Yarrowia lipolytica: one gene and its partners. The protein of the gene in region 1 interacts with the protein of each later gene in a biochemical or structural test. Links are inferred from orthologs where the notes say so. Each region holds a gene or a part of one and is shown on either strand. Other genes may lie near its edges.

Region 1 (5,150 bases):
AGGGCATTCTTAACGAACGCCTTGTAAACGCCTGCAGATAGGTCACCTGTTTCTGGACAAGTAGTCAGTTTGCCATCATCCTGAGGAAGCACTCCTCCCTCATCCCTTGGTTTCTTTAAAGCCATCACTTGGGGCGAATCCACCCTCTTTCTCTTCAACGAGAGCCCTCTCGACTCCAATGCTACTGGACTTTCCATCGTTTCTGTGTATCTCTTCTTTTTGTTCTTCTGTAGCGAAACGGTAGAAAGCGTTGAGATGAGCTTGAGATGGACTGAGTGGTGAGAATTATCAGAGCCTCCAAAGGTTAGCTACTGTACGCACAAACTTTTCAAAGCCTAATTCTGATTATGCAAGGTGGGCAGAATTCCATAAAATGATGCACAGGCGTTGTGACGGCCAGAGAGGGGTGACAAAGTGTTCAGTATTGTCAATATATTATTTTCATTGAATTTATCCCACAAAAACTCCTCTCTATCTCTATATTTTCGTAGATTGCGGGTCCTTTATGGCCCTCACGTGCAACAAAAATGACCTCGAAGCTTAACTTTTCGAGGAATTTTTTTGCCACAGTCCTGAGACATGCACGAGGGAGGACCTTGGAGTTGGAGCAGGTAATTGAGAGGTTGCTTAGTAACGGGTTTTGAGTTTAGGATATTCCGATTTGGGACATGCGATGTGTCGTACTTGCAGAAATGGCCAGTAAATGTCTGACTGAGGACCGCCCGCAGAAGGAGTAGTCCGAAATAAGCTAATAGGATAGTTTATACACATGGGTCGTTTCAGTGTTGGTTACGTAAACAAGTCTGGATTTCTGAGTTCGCCACCGTCTCAGTACAAAGTTCTGGGTGAACTCTTCATCGCCCCCTTCGTGCTCTTCAGCTTACATCATCGAACCCAAATCCGGACCGTTAAGTGCCAGCAGACCCTAGCCCTACAAGGTGGGGAAGCTTACATTTGCAGGGGTGGTGGTGTCTGGTTATTGACGGTCTTGGGCAGGAGACAGCAAGCAAGTTTCAGATAGACAGAGAGGCTTGCAAGACATCCACATTACATGTCCAAAAACAGTCTTTATGATGTGAAATAGTCTCTATCGGCATGGTACGTACAAGTACGTACTGCGCCCATATTATGTATGTATTTGTGTTGTTACACGCACTACCCACTGTGGCCAAGAGCATTTAGGCCCAGCCGGCTATACTTGAACATCGAACTACTAAGGTGCCAAAAACAAGCCGAGGTAGAACTGTGATTGGAGAGCTGTTAGTGACATAATCTACCCTTGCACATCTCCGATGACTAAAAAATTCGGTTATTTGCCCAATATTACATCTACATCTGGCATGAGAAGCTGTTGTGGCCTCACTCTCACCTCAGTTGTGCACCCCCCCTCGTATTTTCGCTTGAGTCGTTTTCCCGAGCCTCGGAGACAAGGTTCCACACACACAGGCCGCCCCATTTAGGCCAAGTAACGGTGATGAATTTTGTATAATTGTTGGGCCCAGGGCTGGTGATTTTGAACCATGATTCCAGCCATGTTTGTTTGCTTTTCAGGCTGTATTTCTGTGTGCTAGTCGGCACTTTTCATCCACTCCCCACGTGATCACATCGATTGGAACAGCAAACCCCTCCTTGTACTTGCTGCATATCTGTATGTATACCGAACTCTGTGAAGGTGCCCAACAGATCATCACCACACAACCACACGATGCAGTACGTTGGGCGAGCCATTGGAACCGTTTCCAAGACCTGGAACTCCATCAACCCTGCAACACTCAGTGGTGCAATTGACATCATTGTGGTCGAGCGGGAAGACGGTGAGTATGGCCATCAAGAGGCTGTTGGAGAAGTGGAGCTGATGCAGTGACCGACGGTGACTTACAGGATGCAAGTTGAGAGGGTGATAGAGAAGTGGACTTTGGGAACAGAGAGTGGGTGCAAGTGGCCTTACAGTTGTTACTTCTAGCTGGCAGTTACACCACTCTTGTAACTATCATGGTCCGTATGATGTGACCACATGTTGTACACCATGACTGTAATCGTGCCCAGGTGGCAACAGTATGATTCACAGTTGTTATGTCATATGGACAAAGTTGTAAGAGGCCAATACAACTGGAGCAACCAGCTTGTTTCGGGTTTCCTGTCAACTACTTCCCACTCACTCGAAACACTCAACACATGAACACAACGTGGTGGCGTAACACCTCATCCCCATAACCACCATATCCACACACTAACCCAGGTGAACTAAACTGCTCTCCTTTCCATGTGCGGTTTGGAATCTTTTCCCTGCTGCGACCGTCCCAGAAAAAGGTCGAGTTCTGTGTCAATGGCACCAAGACCGAGCTGCCCATGAAGGTGGGCGATGGAGGAGAAGTCTTCTTTGTGTTCGAGACCGACGCAGACGTGCCCGAAGAGCTCCTGACATCCCCCGTCATTTCTCCCTCTTCGTCGCCATCCTGGGGCCAGGAGGAAGGCGGGGATGGTGAGCCGGACTACCTTGCTCTGAACGACTCTAAACAGGGTGGCGACAGCAAGCACGGCAGATCGCCCTCGGAGGGCCCACCATTCAGATCACCTTCGGCGGATCACTTACATGAGATGGGCAGCTTCGATGATGAGAATGACCCTGAGGTGAACAGAAGACAACGTGCGAGCACGGCAGCTCCAGAGCCTGTTCCTGGTTCGTTGAAACACCCAGCCACTATCTCGGAAGGCATCTCTTCGGCCTCGTTTTCCAACAGCGATACTGATCGAACAGACACTTCTGGACCCACAGAGACAGAACCCACAGAGCTCACAGAGCCTACAGAGCCCACAGAGCCCACAGAGCCCACAGAGCCTCTGGATCTTGAGCAGAGTCTCCACCGGGCTGCCACTTCTCCCGCCCCTTCGTCCGAGGAGATTTGGGAGAAGGCCCGTGCACTGTCCAAGAAACTCACATCAGAAAACATTCAGAGTAAAATCTCCGACAACGGAGACATTATTCTGGATATGACTGGTTACAAGTACGACCACGAGGACGTGAGTCGATCAGAGGAGCTGGTCAAGAAAATCCTCGCTGAGGAACTGGGAGAAGACAGAGACCTGTCCCACATCCTGGTTGAAGACGAGGAGGGTAACCTTGTGATTCAGAGCGCTGGAGACAGCCACCATCACGAGCATATGAGCTCGCCCGAGTCTCTGGCCCACTCCCCTCAGCCCCTCCCTTCTTCTAACCTTCCGTCTCAGGCCTCGGACAACAAGCACTACGCCAAGACCATCCGTTTGACGTCTGACCAGCTCAAGTCTCTGGATCTCAAGCCCGGCAAGAACGAGGTCACCTTTGCTGTCAATAACGGCAAGACGTCGTGTTCGGCCCAGCTGTTCTACTGGAAGTACGACATTCCTGTTGTCATTTCCGACATTGATGGCACGATCACCAAGTCCGATGCTCTGGGCCATCTGCTCACCATGATGGGCCGAGACTGGACCCACACCGGCGTGGCCAAGCTCTTTTCCGATATCAGAGCCAACGGGTATAATATCATGTATCTGACAGCACGATCAGTGGGACAGGCAGATGCAACCAGGGCATATCTAGGCGGTGTTGACCAGTTTGGCTTCAAGCTGCCTCCAGGACCCGTCATCTTGTCGCCTGATAGAACCCTGGCGGCTCTCAAGAGAGAGGTGATTCTTAAGAAACCTGAGGTATTCAAGATGGCGTGTCTGCGGGACATTAAGTCGCTGTTTGGCGAGACCGAAGACGCCACCAATCCATTCTACGCTGGATTTGGCAACCGAATCACCGACGCGTTGTCGTATAGATCTGTCGGTGTGCCGTCGTCTAGAATCTTCACAATCAACTCGAACGCCGAGGTCCATATGGAGCTGCTTGAACTGGCTGGCTACAAGTCCTCGTATGTCCACATTGCCGATCTTGTCGACCACTTTTTCCCTCCGGAAAGCGAGTTCACGACCATTCAGGAGGAAAAATACACGGACGTCAACTACTGGCGAGATCCCATTATTGACCTGTCTGATCTGACCGACGACGAGCTGACTGACGATGATGAGCTCTCCAAGTCGCCCAAGTCGCCCAGATCTCCTAGAAGCCCGCGGGCCGGTTCGGCAGGCTCCAGCGCGGCTCCCTCAGGCTCGGGCGCCGACCCTGCCGGACCCTCCGAGCCGAAGGACTCCGCGAACCCGTCGAAGTTCAGCTATAAGAAGGCTCCTACGAACTCTCGATTCCAGCCCGTTTCGTACGATCTTGATCTTGACGACGGATACGAGTACGACGATGACGATGACTATGATGACGATGAGGAGTTTGTGGACGCTGAGAGCGACGCGCTGGAGGAGGATGACGACGATGATGATGACGTCGACCTAGACAACGACTCTGACCACTCCCCTGTCAAGCCGCCCTCGCAGATGCAGCGAGTCATCAACAAGACTATTGAGGACAACAAGGGCCTGCACATGGATGAGGATGACGTTCAAAAAGCCATGAAGGCCCTGAAGATGGAACGAGCAAGCATCAATCCTGAGTAAATAGGAAATCAAGCATAAATATATCCGTACTGTACACCGTAGTTTGTGACGTCGAAGGGGAGGGGGACAAGAGAGTGAAAGTGTAGCTACTTGTAGTATGTATAAGTTGTGCGTACCTGAATGTCACGGGACCTGCGATACGAATGCTGGTGAGACCCAACCATGGTTCCCGCTAGAAAGCCAAGATATTATCTGGATCTACAGCTGAGTTTGACGTTATTTTTTTCCCTCCTGAAAGGCTTTGTTAGGTTTGCATCGTTCATGTATTTGGTGTACACCTTTTTCGGGTTCCGATGGTGCTTCCATAGGTGGAGGAGCAGGTCAGAGACACATTGTTTGTGGATAGCGGATTGTTATGCCCCGAGTGGAGCATCATTTTAATCGCAGGAGTTTATTATATACTGTGTATACAGTGCACTAATTTTTCCCCTGTCTCCTCTACACTCCCTTACGTCATTAAATGGCCGCTACTGTATTCACACTCTTCCGACCCGGATCAGATAAATTTTTCAAGAACTTTTTTATCTGATTTGTATGCATGGTTTGGGGGCAAGTAAGCCGTACATAGGAGGCCTGGAAGTAGGGGCAAAAGTGGAGAGTCCCTGTAACCACTGGTTTGT
Region 2 (3,292 bases), about 3.2 Mb from region 1:
TTCCGGCAAAAGCGCCGGGCAGAGCAGGATGCAGGTTGATGATGGACATTTTGGCCGCCTCCACAGGTTCCAGAAACTTGGGCGACAGAATCAGCATCCACCCAGCACATACCACCAGCGAAGTGTCGGTTTTGGATACGATGAAGTTGCCCAGATCGGCGTTGAACTTCTGTCGGGCCGCCATACGCTCCGTCTTGGCATCCTTGGGCAAATCGCCATAGTAGGACGCCAGAGAATGGACGTGGGTGGGGATTCCGGCCGTTTGTGCTCGCTCCAGTCCATAAGCGGTCGGAGACGACGAAATGACGAGCGAGATGCGGGGGCCGATTTCTGCGTCGTCAATGAGTGCCTGGAGATTGGTTCCCGACCCGGAAATCAGCACAATGATGTCTTTGGTCATGTTGTGTGGGGGTGTAATGGAGTGACGATAATTTTTTTTGCCGTGACCTCTTTTTTTGGTAAGTAAAAAATAAGGTTCATTGTGATGGAAATTAAACTTTGGCCGATAATGTAGTACAATGGAGGACAGGGAGGCATTATACGGACCGAATTTGTATGGCGCGGGGCGGTTCTTGTGAAGGAACCTGTGTTGGTCACGTGATTGGATATATCCCCTTTTTTCGGCTCATTCGGAGCTTTCTATCAGGCTCAGAAACGGATCACTTCTTTCTGCACAATTTACACGGGGTGCAGGATAGTGTAGATAATGTAGAAGAACAGGAGCGCATTTTTCGGTGTTTGAGAGGAGCAGAAGAGATGAGAAGAGTTGCTATTGGGTATTAGCCGGCTGGTGAATACATTTTTTGTCTGTAATTTTTCATTTGGACCGCCGCTTAGCGAGATCCGGACTTATCCAGAACGTGATTGGTTGGTGGGGTGTGAAAAGTTAATTTTGGCTGTGGAAAATGAACATGACGAGATATTGGGGGTTTTTGGAAGTGAAAAAAGTCCAACAAGAGATTGAGCAGAATAAATACGGTGTTTTTTATCTCCTGAAAGTTTCAGAAATCCAATACGACCTAAATAGACGCTTCTAGAGTGAATCTATTCTGATGCAGGGAAGATGGCCACTAGGAGGAACATAGTGGATGAAGTAATCTTCATATTGAGATATATTTTGGTCTGATGAGTCTTTGGCACAGTTTATTTGTTCAGCCAAAAATTCACCCAATTCCACCGGCCAGATTCCAAGTTAGATACTTCATCTCTACGACCCGAGTAACTGTATGCATGATCATAGAGGTAGTAATAGTGGGGTGAAAAATGGACTTAGAGAGATTAGGAAGTGATATAAGAGATTTATTGATCCATTTAGAAGTCGATTATCAAATCCAAAATTCCATATTAGCTCAACAACAGTCTCAAATCTGTGGAATCATGCGTATTTTGTCCCTCGCATTATAGATGGTCGATCGATTGCTGAGCATTTGAAGACATTTATAACTCAAGTGAGACATAATTTGGACACTCATTGACAGAAATCACACTTTTGCCACTTGTCTCATCCCCATATACAATTTCACATCTACGTATCTCTCCCCCTTAGCCACTCTACAACACCGCGACTTAATACCCCATCAAACTCGCCCAAAAATGACCATGTTTATGTTTCAAACATACCATTCGATTCCCCACACCTCCCTGACTCCAATTATACTACTATTATCCCCCAAATCCCTCGCCCTCAGGATTTAATTTCCCCCCAGACCCCTTTTCTCTTCGATTACTAATCAGCGTTGTGAAACCTTAATTTGGGCACTCCACCGTAGACTGTGAATTTTCGTTCCTAGCTCACCACCACCCTGCGATACACGTTAGTGGAGCAGCAAACAACGCCAGCGGGTTCATAACGTCAGCGCTAATCCTGTTAATCACGTGACCTGAAGAGGGAAATAGACTCTTGCCGCCGCCAAATTCTTCCCCGCCAAACTCTCTGCGCCCAAGTCCCGACGTCACTCTCATTACCATGGAAAGCAGCCCCGACTTCCTTCCAGAATCGGATGGAGACACAGAAGTGGAACTGCTGCCCAACCTCAAGCTTGCGGGCGTCACGGAGCCACGCCGACGCGAAAAACCCGTGTTGAAACCGCCCAAAACCGCAGATGCAGAGAACATTCCGTTACCTCCTTCTCCTCCCCCGTTATCGTCTCCTTCGGAGATTTATTCGAATCTGCTAATCCTGGAGGAGTCTCTGAGACAGCAGTATCTCAACCAGCGGCAATCGCAGCGTAAGTACTCGACATTTTACTTTGTTTTGCTGAGTTTGACGGCGTATTTGGTCTACTCTCAGATCTACCCTTCCATTTATTCCTACGTCTTCTTTTTCCATCGCTTCTGTCTGATTGCGGTTCTGTCAACTCTGGGACTGTTTCATCTCTCTGGAATGTACACCAAGAAACTGGTTTACCCAAGGAAGTTCATATACAACTCAAATCGAGGTCTCCGCGGGTTCAATGTCAAGTTGGTGAAAACGGGAGGCTACTTTTCGTCCACCGTTCATTTGGTGCTGAATACAAGGGTGTTTAGCACCGAGAACATCGAGCAATGGGAAGAATACAGATTGGGGTACTTTGAGAGAGAGAGAAAGAAGAAGATCAAGGAAAAGAAGGAAAGGAAGGAAAGGAAGGAGCCTGTCCGCAGTTGAAAGAGAGAGGAAGGAACCTGTAGGCAGTACAGCGCGATAAGGCTCTGGAATCATTCCGGCATGGTATGAAGTACAGCCCGAACGAATTACTGCCCAACGAATGACTGCCCAACGAATGACAACCCAAACATAATGTTCTCATCTGTCTCTGGCGACACTTCTGACATCCAGTACACGGTTGTTTGCAGTTCGTGATTAGAACTGCTCTCTCAGAACAAACCCCGAAAGATCTCTACTGGACTCTGAATAGGACTGTCCCAGAGAACTACTAAAAGGAAGTATATTTATTTTAATGCATGTGGTGGATAATAGGTGTATGGTGGTGTTTATGGGATATGTACCATACCATATAGCCACAGTAACTCGATCAATTTTGACCGGATCAAAAAAAAATCAACGGAAATTTAACCAGCGAGGAAAATGAAGGAAAACTCATCTTGCAAGTACAAAATATGTTAGTGTCTTGTCTCTCAGACACAGGAATCGTCTGACCTGGGGGCATTCACCCAAATCCTCTCAATATTCATCGGATCACAAATATCTCGACAGGAAAATTGATTCGGCAGGCCAATTGACCAACTTTTGTCATACAAAATAATTCATATTTCTTCTCTGGTTCTCTCAACTGGTCATATGTGATTTCTCTAA
Region 3 (7,065 bases), on another chromosome or scaffold:
GGTGTTGAGGAGGAGTAATGAAAGAAGGACACCGACACAAAATTAGCGGAGTGACCTGAGTGCCAGCATCAGTGACTTTTCGACCAAGCTTTGAGACAGGCCATGGACTGGCAAGCACAACAAGGCGCAGATGCTTACAGTATATGTCGGCTACCGAGGGTCTACGCAGAACAGTCCTTCCATGCTCGTGGACTGGATATCTCAGAAGTGAGCCTTCAAAGTCCTTGTGTTAACTCTTCCCCTGCTGTTACACTCGAATCATGCTACAGTATTGGCTATTACGGACATGGGGCAGTCTTTCAAGACATTACCGTGCATGGTAGTTTGATTGTATCCAACACGGAAGGCGGCATGAACAAACCAGCATCACAGAGCATATTTGTTTTATAGAATCATTCCTGAATATGCCGTCATTTCTTATATATATCGTACTTAATGACAAATACAATTTGTAGTACACACTGTATGCTTCTTTCTCATGTGCCGTTCTATCAACAAGGAGCAGATTTGTGCTATGCCAGTCAAGAAGAGGTCAGTACTGCTACTCCTACAAGTACAATGTACCGTACACATACACGTCATCATTATATTATTATATTATCATTCATTAAATAAAATTAATTAGCTATATTAGTTACGTTTAGTTATTAATGAGCAGACCTTGAGAAACAAGGTGCGCCTTGATCTGGTCATAGAGCTGAGTAAACGAGCCCTGCGAGCCTCGATCGTGGAAAAAGTGAGCAAAACTATTGGTGTGTTTGAGGGGACCAATGTCGATATGCAATTTTGCCGATTTGATTTTCAGAGCATTTCGCGAGCTGATCTGACACTTAATGGAAGAGTGTGACACAGACAGATTGGAAATACCATACTTGCGCCACGATGCAAGCAGAGCCACAATCTCGTCTTCCAGCTGCTGGCTGGTGAGAGTGGAGTAGAGGGTTTGAGGAGGTTGCCGGGGGGCGACGTTGGGTCGCGAGAACATCTTCATGAACCACGATTGAGTGACGTTCCAAGGGTCGCCAGTAGCAGGAGCAGTACCGGACGTGTGAGCTGCATGAGCTGCTGCATGAGCTGCAGGTGCAGCTGGATCTTTCTGTGCATTCATGTGGGCGTTGGCATTCACACCAGGAGCAGCACCATAGTCGCTAGATTGGATCATGGTCACCTTAGAAGTGGGAGCAACTGGAGCCTCACGCTTGGGTGCAAATCCAAACCGTCGGATGAATGACTTCGTTCGGCTGGACTTTGACTGGGGTGGCTGAGTCTGCACAGGAGCAGGAATGGTAAACTGCGAGTTGTTCTGCTGCTGCTGGTGCATAGGAAGAACCATGGTGTCGGCCACACTCTGCACGGGGGGAGCAGGTGCAGGCCGTCGTGGAGCAGACACCACAGGCTTCTCTCGGAAGACAGGTGCGGGCTGCAACTGATGCTGAGTCTGCTGCTGCTGCTGATGATGATGCTGCTGCTGCTGTTGCGGTTGCTGTTTCTGTAGAACCTCAACAGGTCGTCGTTCGTGCAGTTCAGCAGCTGCCTGCAACTGTCTAACAGGCTTGGCGGCCTCTCGAGGGGAAGCAGCATGGGTATTCATATCACGAGACACGAGAGGACGTCGCTGGGAAGCAGAAGTCGTCTGTCGCGATAGGTTGCTCTGGCTGAGATGACCGTTGAGGTTGATGGACGAAGGTCGCTTCATGAAGTTGTCTGTCTGCATCTGGCCCGAGATCTTCATCTTGGACTGGGTTCGAGGCATAGACTCCACGGCAGTCTCATCTCGGTCCACAACAGGGATTTCGGGGAATTGAAGATCCTTGTAAAGCTCTGTGGACTCCCGACCAACATGGGTAGCAGCAGGAGCCACAGGAGTGGCCTCATTGGCATTGTCTCGGTGGAAAGAAATGTCCAGCAGAGAGTCCTCGCCCACAACAACCTGGTCCCCTCGCTCAGTGAAATCAAACAGGTTCTCCCACTCACTCGACTTTCGATCGCCCCCAAGCATAGGAGTTGTGTGGTTCGTGGAGGGGGCAGAAAGAGTGTTGTCGGAAATGTTGAGATGGAACTCCTCCTCGATGGCATCTGCGAACCGGTCGCCCTCCTCGAAAATCATGGGCAGGTAGTTGGGGGTATCAGAATGAGCGTTGGCCACACGCTCTCGCGAGTGGGTGTGAGTGTGAGAAATGGTTTGAGCGCGAGATACGCTGGGCTGCTGGGCACGGCCAGTGTCTCCTCCTACCTCTCGAGGATCAAACAATGACATGGGCCGTTCGAACTCAAACTCATCGTTGTATGCCATGGTTACTGCTCGCTTGGATGTGTTCGCAGCGGTTGCGCCAGCTGCGGTTCGAGAGGCGATGGACGTGTTAGCAGGGTCAGTCACATGGCGTCGAGCGTCAACGGGAGAACCAAGCAGACTGCCGTAGCTCTTCTTCGTCTTGACGGGCTTGTTGAAGGCAGAGTCAAGGAAGGCTTCAAAGTCGGCATCCTTGCTGGCAGGAGGCGACCGTGTAAGCCACGAGGGAGCTGACGAGATGGGAGCCCGTCGTGATGTTGGCGGCTGTTGATGGACAGGCTGTGATTGTCGTGGTGGTGACTGAACCGCTTGTGTTGGTGCCAGTGGCTGTGCTGGTGCTCTAGTGGCTGTGGATGTAGCGGCTGCGGTTGTAGGAGCTGCGGGTGCAGTAGCAGGTGCCTCTGTGTAAGGAACGTTGACGTTGAAAGGAATGGGTGCAGTACCAGCCGAAACAGGTGCGGAGGCAGTCTGTTTTCTAGGAGAAGCGACGACGGAGTTGCTGGCACTTCCTCGCATGCTTCGGATGCTCTGCTGAGATCGCTTCTTGACATGGGTGAAAGAAACACCTCGCTTGTGGGCCGAAGAAACAGACACCAGCGAACCCCGAGAGCCAAGTCGATGGCTGTTGTGGCTTGTCTTGCGCTTGTGTTGCTTGCGAGACGAGTGGCTATGGGACTTGTGCATGGCAGGCTGCATCTCCTGGCTCTGTTGCTGTTGCAACGTGGGAGGAGCAGTGGCAGCCACAGCGGCAGCATGATCATGTCGGTACTTCATCAGCAGACAGTAAAAGGTCTTCTCCGGGTTAGCATCGGGAGACAGCAGCTTCTGCATGATGATCTCGGCGTCTTCGCCGTGCCACAGAATCTGTAGGTTCTTGAGAATCTCTATATCAATGTCCTGCACCGAAGCCACAGGACGGGCCACATGCTCGTAAGAAGGAGCATGGATGTGAGTGGGTGTCACACCTCCGCTGTACTTGCGCACGAAGGGATGCTGGAAGATCTCGTCCATGGTGATTCGAGTGGTAGGATCTGTTCGTAGCATTCGCCAAATGAGATCCTTGGCGTATGGACTCAGCTCTGACGGCATATTGAACTTGCCGGTCTGCACCTTGAGCAGCAATCTTCGAATGTTGTCATCGTCAAAAGGCAGATGACCGGTCAGAAGCGCGAAAAGAATGATACCGCACGACCAGATATCCGAGGGGGCTCCGTGATATGTCTTACCGGCGACAATTTCGGGAGAGGCGTAGTGAGGCGATCCACAACTGGTTTCCAGCATCCGGTCTGTCTCCAGAGCGGCCATTCCAAAGTCGGCAATCTTGATGTTGCGGTTCTTGTCTAGCAGCAGGTTCTCGGGCTTGAGATCTCGGTGGCAAATGTTGAATCTGTGGCAGTAGTCGACTCCATTGATGATTTGCAAAAAGTACGAGGCGGCCTCATATTCCTCCAGGCGGCCCTTTTTGATGAGGTAATCAAACAGCTCGCCGCCCTCAATGTATTCCAAAACGAGATATCTGGGTTAGTATGGGTATAATGGTTGGCCGTTGTCCTGGTAACGGGCCTCAAGCGACCGCTGCGACAATTCCATGTTGAGTATACGTCGCGCACATCCACGCTGTGTATAGTTGGCCTGCATGGACACAGGGATGCAGCGTATACAGCATGTACAGTGTAGCACTGCCTGGGAGCGGTGTGGTGGTGGTGGTGGTGGTTGGAGACTCAGAAATAAAATAGGAAATGAGATACAGCTTCAAACACTGGTCTCCGCAAAGATAAGGCTGTATGTCCCGAATAATAAACCACGAAATGGCAAGCGGTAAACAAACACAACAAGCGAGTGAAGAGAACATTGATATATGCCATAGAAGCACCAAAACTAGTTGGAGGCTTACAGAGTTAAATCAAAGATCCACAAGCATGCGTCTTTCTCGAATTGCTGAGTCTCTTAGTGTCCTGATGTGCTCAGTGTACCGTGCTTGTGTGAACCACGCCCAGTGCCCTGTAAATGTACCGTTCGGGGCATTCATCTGACTATTAAAGGGGGGTATGTCAATGAGTGATTGAAGGGAAAGACGGACTTGAAAGTCATGTGCCAGTCCAGGAACTGCGTCTGGGACTATCTGAGCCATGTGACAGTGTGGAGACGCGTTTAGTCAAATTAGAGAGACGACTGAGAGCTGTAGGAGATATACTTCGGCTGTAACACCTTACTTGTCATCTTTGATGTCTCTAAAACACCTCTCAGTGTACCAAAAGCTCGCCTCACCATCAAAACGCGTCAAAATAGTCTCGTTGTTCCACAACATCACCACCCACCCTGTGATTTCACCACCATACACTCCACACCAATAGGTAATTTTCACGCTTCTTCAATACTCACAATTCTCCCTTGTTCTCCCACACATCGTACAGTGCCATCACATTGGCATGTTCAATCAATTTCATGATGATCACCTCCCGCTCAATACCGTAAGGTAGCCCCGTGGCGCCATGCTCCTCTCCGTTGGCCGCATTGACGGCGTCGGCCACCACTGCCTTGGGTACAATCTTCACGGCCGCAAGCTGGCCGGTGTGCGAGTGTCGTGCTAGTCGGACACGTCCCGAGGAGCCTCGTCCAAGGGTTCGGCCCAGTCGCCAAGGACCAATGTGCGTTTTTGTCTTCTTGTTGGACGACGTCGATGTCTGGGACAACCGTTTTGTCGTGGGGTCTGTGGTTGTCTGGCCCGGTGTCTGTGTCTGTGTGTTCTGTGTGTTCTGTGTGTTTTGTGCCTGAGCGTTGTAGTTGTAGTTCTGCTGGGCCTCATACTGTTGCTGTATTTGTTGCACCATGGGGTCGGTGGGGTATGCCCGCGAGGCTGCTGCAACAGCTGCTGGGTTGTGCATTGTCGCTTGTGTGTCGGTGGTAGAGGAACGACTGTGTCAGAAACCAACAATCTATCTCCACGAAGGTGTAGCACCAACGATACACTCGGCCTGCATGGTGCATTGTTTGCAAGAGTTTGCCCATTGTAGAGTTTCTTTGGAATGATGTGGGTTGAAAAATGGTGGTATTGTGGCTTACAACTGAGAGCAAAAAAATCCGAAAAAACACGGATAATTCGAACGGCATTTTTCTCTTTTTTTTCATATATATTTCTCTATTTCATCACCACCCCATCAACCCCCACAACCACATTCCACACGCGAAGAATGCACAAACAAAGTTGATGCGCGGCTGAGCATCCTAACAAACAATACATGTGGATTGAGGGAAATATGTAGAGAAAAATGTGGATTTTCGGGCCGTGGACGAATTGGACGGTTCATGACATTTGTTGGCGAATTATTCAAGGCCCAAATATTGCTTTTCCGTCACTTTAGCTCAACTCTACAGTACCGAAAAGAGCCTCATCATGGCCTAATCTGATGGCTCACATTCCAAGCCGTTTTGGGATACGCGACACGCGAGTCAAGGGTCATTTTTGTGCTGAAACCCTTACCCACAAGCAGCAAGACGGAGATCTGCAACCTTGTCGCCGGTCACGTGATGTCCACAATGGTTGTCATGGAGACCATTGTGGGATATATTCACAGTTGTACGGCTTGAGTGATACACTTTGAATGTTGTCCACGTGGTACAGTCGAGGTGTCGAGCGGTTAGTTGACTGTATTTGCACAGGGTATTTGCATTTTACAGCCGTAATAATATCAGCTACAAGTAGCCAATTATTGTAGGATTATTGTAGGAGTGGTCTTACACGTTACATACTGTAACATGAATTTGACCAGATGCAAGGGTGCAGTGGAATCTTGGGTTGGAGGTACAAGTACAAGTGGAGGGAAACGGAGACGGAGCGGTGGTATATTGGGTGGTTGTCAGGATATAATGTGTTGATACACAGAAGAACTGGCCTTGTTGGGAAATTTGCACTTGTACTTGTACTTGTACATTCATTTCCGCGTTTTATTATTCGACCGTGTCATCCCCATCTCTTCTGTTTTGATGTATACTTGTACATGGTGGGCCGAATTAGTATGTATAAAAACATGCCCTAAAAATACACCTTTTACTGTGGGCCACACTGACGGGACAATGGCAATGACAGCTCTCGAAACGCTCAAAGTTGACCCAAAATAGCCGTGTTTGGTGCCAGAACAAAGGTACGAGTGGAGCCAATCCGGTGCAACCACCAGCCAGTAGCGGAATGCGTCATTATCCTCTGAGCTGGAGTGGGAACGTGAATTTGTATGCGACACAACAATGGTGAAGTCGACTACGAGTAGTGACTTCTGCACAAGAACCCACCACTACTGAATACGATACAGTACGATTACGGTAAGAGTACAAGACAGTTACTACTGATACAAGTACGTATGTACATACTGTACAACAACAATTCAACACCTTCTGAAGAGTGATTCAGCTCGTATACTCTGGATACACGTGAAAGAGCGCCTGAACATTCATCTCAGTGCCGATCTCTGATAGACAGCATGGTTAATAATAATAATCTGCAGTGGGGAGCAGTTCAACAGTAGCTCCTCGTAGCTGTACACTTGTATCGTAAAAACTGTATCGCAGCTAATTCGACGTAATTTCCCGCCTGCCAAGCCAATATCGGAGCTTCCTTGACTACAAGTAGCCATTTATCGCTCTTATCATATATAAATGGGTCTCCGCCACACGACGAGTAGTGGACAGAAAGATAAGTAGCCACCCAAGCCCTCCATAGGGCGACATTCGGTAGCACTGGTAGCGCACTTTCCCGGAAATGACGTAATGCGCTGGGAAGA
Region 4 (3,464 bases), about 220 kb from region 1:
GCAGCTTCTGGGTCACCTCGGGCTCGTAGGTCTGCCAGGATTTGCGTGCGCGCGCGTCGACTCCCTCGCCCACGTAGCCTTCCTTGATTAGAATGTTGACCAGCAGGCCGTTGCCGCAGCCCAGGTCATAGAAATAAATATCGTCCTTGTTCTTGTACATCTGGCCCCACAGCTCGATGAGAAAGGCGGCGATGGCAAGATCTTCAAACACGTGTTTGCGAGGGTCTGTGGACTCGACCCATGAGGACACCAGCGAATGTGCGTACTTTTGCTTCAGGTAGATGTATCTGTCCTGGAACTTGATTCGGTCGATGATCATGTCGTGATGCACCCGTTTCTTGTAGCCTGCCTTTTGACCCGACGAGTGGCGGAACACAGTGTGGAGAAGATGCAGGGCAATTCGACCGCATCGTTCCTCCTGCTCGGCCGAGAGCTCGTGGTCGGTATACTTTTCGTAGTAGACGGAGATGGCACTTCCGTCAAAGTACAGCAATACGGCCTTGACACAGGGCAGGTAGTAGGGACACGACTTGGGATGGTCGTGGTGCGAAATGTAGGAAATGGCGATTTTGGCGCCCTCGGACGTTTCTTTGCCGTCAGAGTCCCACAACGGCTTGTCCGAGTGGACGATGCATGTTTGGTTGACGGAAAAGTCGTTCTGGGGGTTTCGGGGGATGATTCGACGAACAATGACTCGTTTGACTGGACAGGGAGTCACCTCGACTTGTCGGGGCTCGTAATCCTGCAGATTCGGAGGAACTGGAGTGTTCTTGTCCTTGTCTGTATCCTTCTTGTCGTCGTCGACAGGTCCTTCATGGGTATCGAAAATGAACCCTTCATTGGCCTTGTCCGTGCCCATGATGTTCGGCATCATGTTGAGCGAGTCAGAAATGATATCGGCTCTCATGATCACCGACGAGTTGATGTTGGGCTGGCTGATCACGTTGAGCATGGCCTCGAGAAAGTGCTGGGCCCCAAAGTCGACCGGGTGCGACAGATACGGCGTCCATTGTGTGCCGACCGCGGACGGCTCGCCGCTGATATCGGTGGGTGTGAACATGGCGTGACTGGTAGAGGGTCAAACGGGTCGCTATTGTTTTTCTGTCTGATTTGATTTTCCATTGTGATGCACGGCGAAAAGTTAATGCGCCAGGGGGACATGAAGGAAGAGCAAACGGGGGACTCTGTGGGTGTTGGAGTGGGAATTGTGAAGAAATAATTACATAAATATGATTGCAATCGGACGAGAAATCCACTGGAATTTCAAATGTCCAATTCGACCCACTTTTGAGCATTTCAAGCCACCCCTCACCACTCACCCCGCCTAGAGTCACCGCCGCCGCACAACCGAACAGGAAAGACAGGTTATGACTCATTCGTGGGGGAAAGAGAAAGAAGAGGACCATTGAGTCATCCGAAACATACAACTCAAACCGGATCTTTAGGGATCAGATGTCACGTGGGCCGAAACCCGACCTTGGAATATTGTTCTATGTTGTCGAGTAATCCGTTAAGTAAATAGTGAATATTAGTTGGATTTGATGGGGGTACAGGACGACTCTGTAAGTAGGGTTGAAATGGATCCAGAAACACGCGGAGAATTGGAATCACGTGAGAAGCAACTACAGTACCATTTGGCGTGAATTTGGACTCAAATAAGTCCTTATTTTATCATCTACAATGAACCATTCTCCTACCTCCGCTGACTCATAGTTCAAGTAATTTTATACTTCTTGACACGTGATGGTGCATTTGGTGAAAAATGGATCTGGATTTCGGCGGTCCAGTTTGAGAGCAATTTAGAGCTGTGGGGGTATATATATATATATATATATATAGATGTGCTTGGGGTCTTGTTTTTTCCCTTCTTGTTTTCTCTTCTTTTTTACCACTCGGACCCTTTTGTCCGTCTCCTGTGGTTTTCCCCCTTTGCTCACGGTTTGCTCTACTGCTTGTCCCAACCAGCTCCATGCACGTCGTCAACATCTAAAACTCAAGTACAGCTGCCAACTGAGTCGTCACCACACACAGTCGTCCACCACCACCACCAATGAACACGTCATCGCAATTCCAGCAGCTGGAGAAGCTCGGAGAAGGCACGTACGCCACGGTGTACAAGGGCCGCAACCGAACCACGGGCCAGCTTGTGGCGCTCAAGGAAATTAACCTGGACAGTGAAGAGGGCACGCCTTCCACGGCCATCCGAGAAATCTCGCTGATGAAGGAGCTTAAGCACGAAAACATTGTGACGCTGTACGACGTGATCCACACGGAAAACAAGCTGAATCTGGTGTTTGAGTACATGGACAAGGATCTCAAAAAGTTCATGGACACCAATGGCAACAAGGGCGCGCTGGAGACCAAGCAGGTCAAGTGGTTCATGTACCAGCTACTCCGTGGCATTCTCTTCTGCCACGACAACCGGGTTCTACACAGAGACCTCAAGCCCCAGAACCTGCTCATCAACGCCAAGGGACAGCTCAAGCTGGCTGACTTTGGTCTGGCCCGAGCGTTTGGAATCCCCGTTAACACCTTTTCCAACGAGGTCGTGACGCTGTGGTACCGGGCTCCGGATGTGCTCCTTGGATCCAGAACCTACTCCACCTCCATCGACATCTGGTCTGCAGGCTGCATCATGGCCGAGATGTTCACTGGCCGGCCTCTGTTCCCCGGATCTTCCAACGACGACCAGCTGCAACACATTTTCAAGCTCATGGGCACGCCCAACGAGAGCACGTGGCCCAATATCTCGTCGCTGCCCAATTACCGATCCAACTTCCAGGTCTATGCTCCCCAGGACCTCCGAGTCATCATCCCCCAGATTGATAACGTGGCGCTAGATCTGCTCTTGTCGCTGCTGCAGCTCAAGCCGGAGAACCGAATCACGGCTAGACAGAGTCTTGAGCATCCTTGGTTTGCCGAGTACCATCAGTAAGCTGCATCAACCGCAAAACCTGTGGGAGCATGGGTTCAAGTATCATTGCTTCCTGCCAGTGCCGGCACTAGGTGCCGTTAAAGCACCACTGGAAGACCGACCCAACTACTGTTACTGGATCTTCACAGGCTAAAGAATTAACAAGGAGGAGGATAGCACTAATAGATTGTCGTGTTTGAGTGGTGCAATAGTCTGAAGTTGTATTGGAGAGGAATGGGCCGTATTAAAATAGTGAAGAGAGATCGCCGTACTATTTAATAGCCATGTAACACTCCAGGATCTACCGGAAAAACGAGTCACGCGATACACACGAGTTGAACATGAAAGTCACGTGAATTGCACGTGACTTGAACTTACATTCATGTCTGTACCATATGTACAGTATGTACATACATTCGCTATCTAAAACATCTCGGTCTTATGTAGCCTCTATTTATTTGATTCATGTCATAACTGGTATCATCTGAATCCCCACGTGATCAGGACTGTGACGAAATTTGTTACACAATAATAGGATCATTATTGACTG

Evidence for each region.
Region 2: of the proteins of YALI1_D35593g (region 1) and YALI1_D03888g, one has a biochemical effect on the other in vitro, tested with the Saccharomyces cerevisiae proteins (2 studies listed by BioGRID, with this or other methods). The link is inferred for Yarrowia lipolytica from reciprocal best matches to the Saccharomyces cerevisiae genes PAH1 and SPO7.
Region 3: of the proteins of YALI1_D35593g (region 1) and YALI1_E07818g, one has a biochemical effect on the other in vitro, tested with the Saccharomyces cerevisiae proteins (2 studies listed by BioGRID). The link is inferred for Yarrowia lipolytica from reciprocal best matches to the Saccharomyces cerevisiae genes PAH1 and HSL1.
Region 4: of the proteins of YALI1_D35593g (region 1) and YALI1_D33418g, one has a biochemical effect on the other in vitro, tested with the Saccharomyces cerevisiae proteins (9 studies listed by BioGRID). The link is inferred for Yarrowia lipolytica from reciprocal best matches to the Saccharomyces cerevisiae genes PAH1 and PHO85.

Annotation. Positions count from the first base shown.
Region 1 is NC_090773.1:3,557,564-3,562,713, forward strand, and holds YALI1_D35593g (uncharacterized protein), read left to right. Parts: upstream 1-1,705; coding exon 1,706-1,814; intron 1,815-2,239; coding exon 2,240-4,530; downstream 4,531-5,150. Other genes in the region: YALI1_D35575g (uncharacterized protein), read right to left, coding at 1-197; YALI1_D35624g (uncharacterized protein), read left to right, coding at 4,792-4,800, 4,845-5,087. UniProt on the Saccharomyces cerevisiae protein: Mg(2+)-dependent phosphatidate (PA) phosphatase which catalyzes the dephosphorylation of PA to yield diacylglycerol. Required for de novo lipid synthesis and formation of lipid droplets.
Region 2 is NC_090773.1:386,842-390,133, forward strand, and holds YALI1_D03888g (uncharacterized protein), read left to right. Parts: upstream 1-1,966; coding exon 1,967-2,644; downstream 2,645-3,292. Other genes in the region: YALI1_D03865g (uncharacterized protein), read right to left, coding at 1-330, 1,469-1,472. UniProt on the Saccharomyces cerevisiae protein: Regulatory component of the NEM1-SPO7 complex which acts as a phosphatase and dephosphorylates the phosphatidic acid phosphohydrolase PAH1. Essential for the formation of a spherical nucleus and meiotic division.
Region 3 is NC_090774.1:779,930-786,994, reverse strand, and holds YALI1_E07818g (uncharacterized protein), read right to left. Parts: upstream 5,176-7,065; coding exon 4,673-5,175; intron 3,807-4,672; coding exon 641-3,806; downstream 1-640. Other genes in the region: YALI1_E07874g (uncharacterized protein), read left to right, coding at 1-18.
Region 4 is NC_090773.1:3,340,304-3,343,767, reverse strand, and holds YALI1_D33418g (uncharacterized protein), read left to right. Parts: upstream 1-2,050; coding exon 2,051-2,935; downstream 2,936-3,464. Other genes in the region: YALI1_D33428g (uncharacterized protein), read right to left, coding at 1-1,060.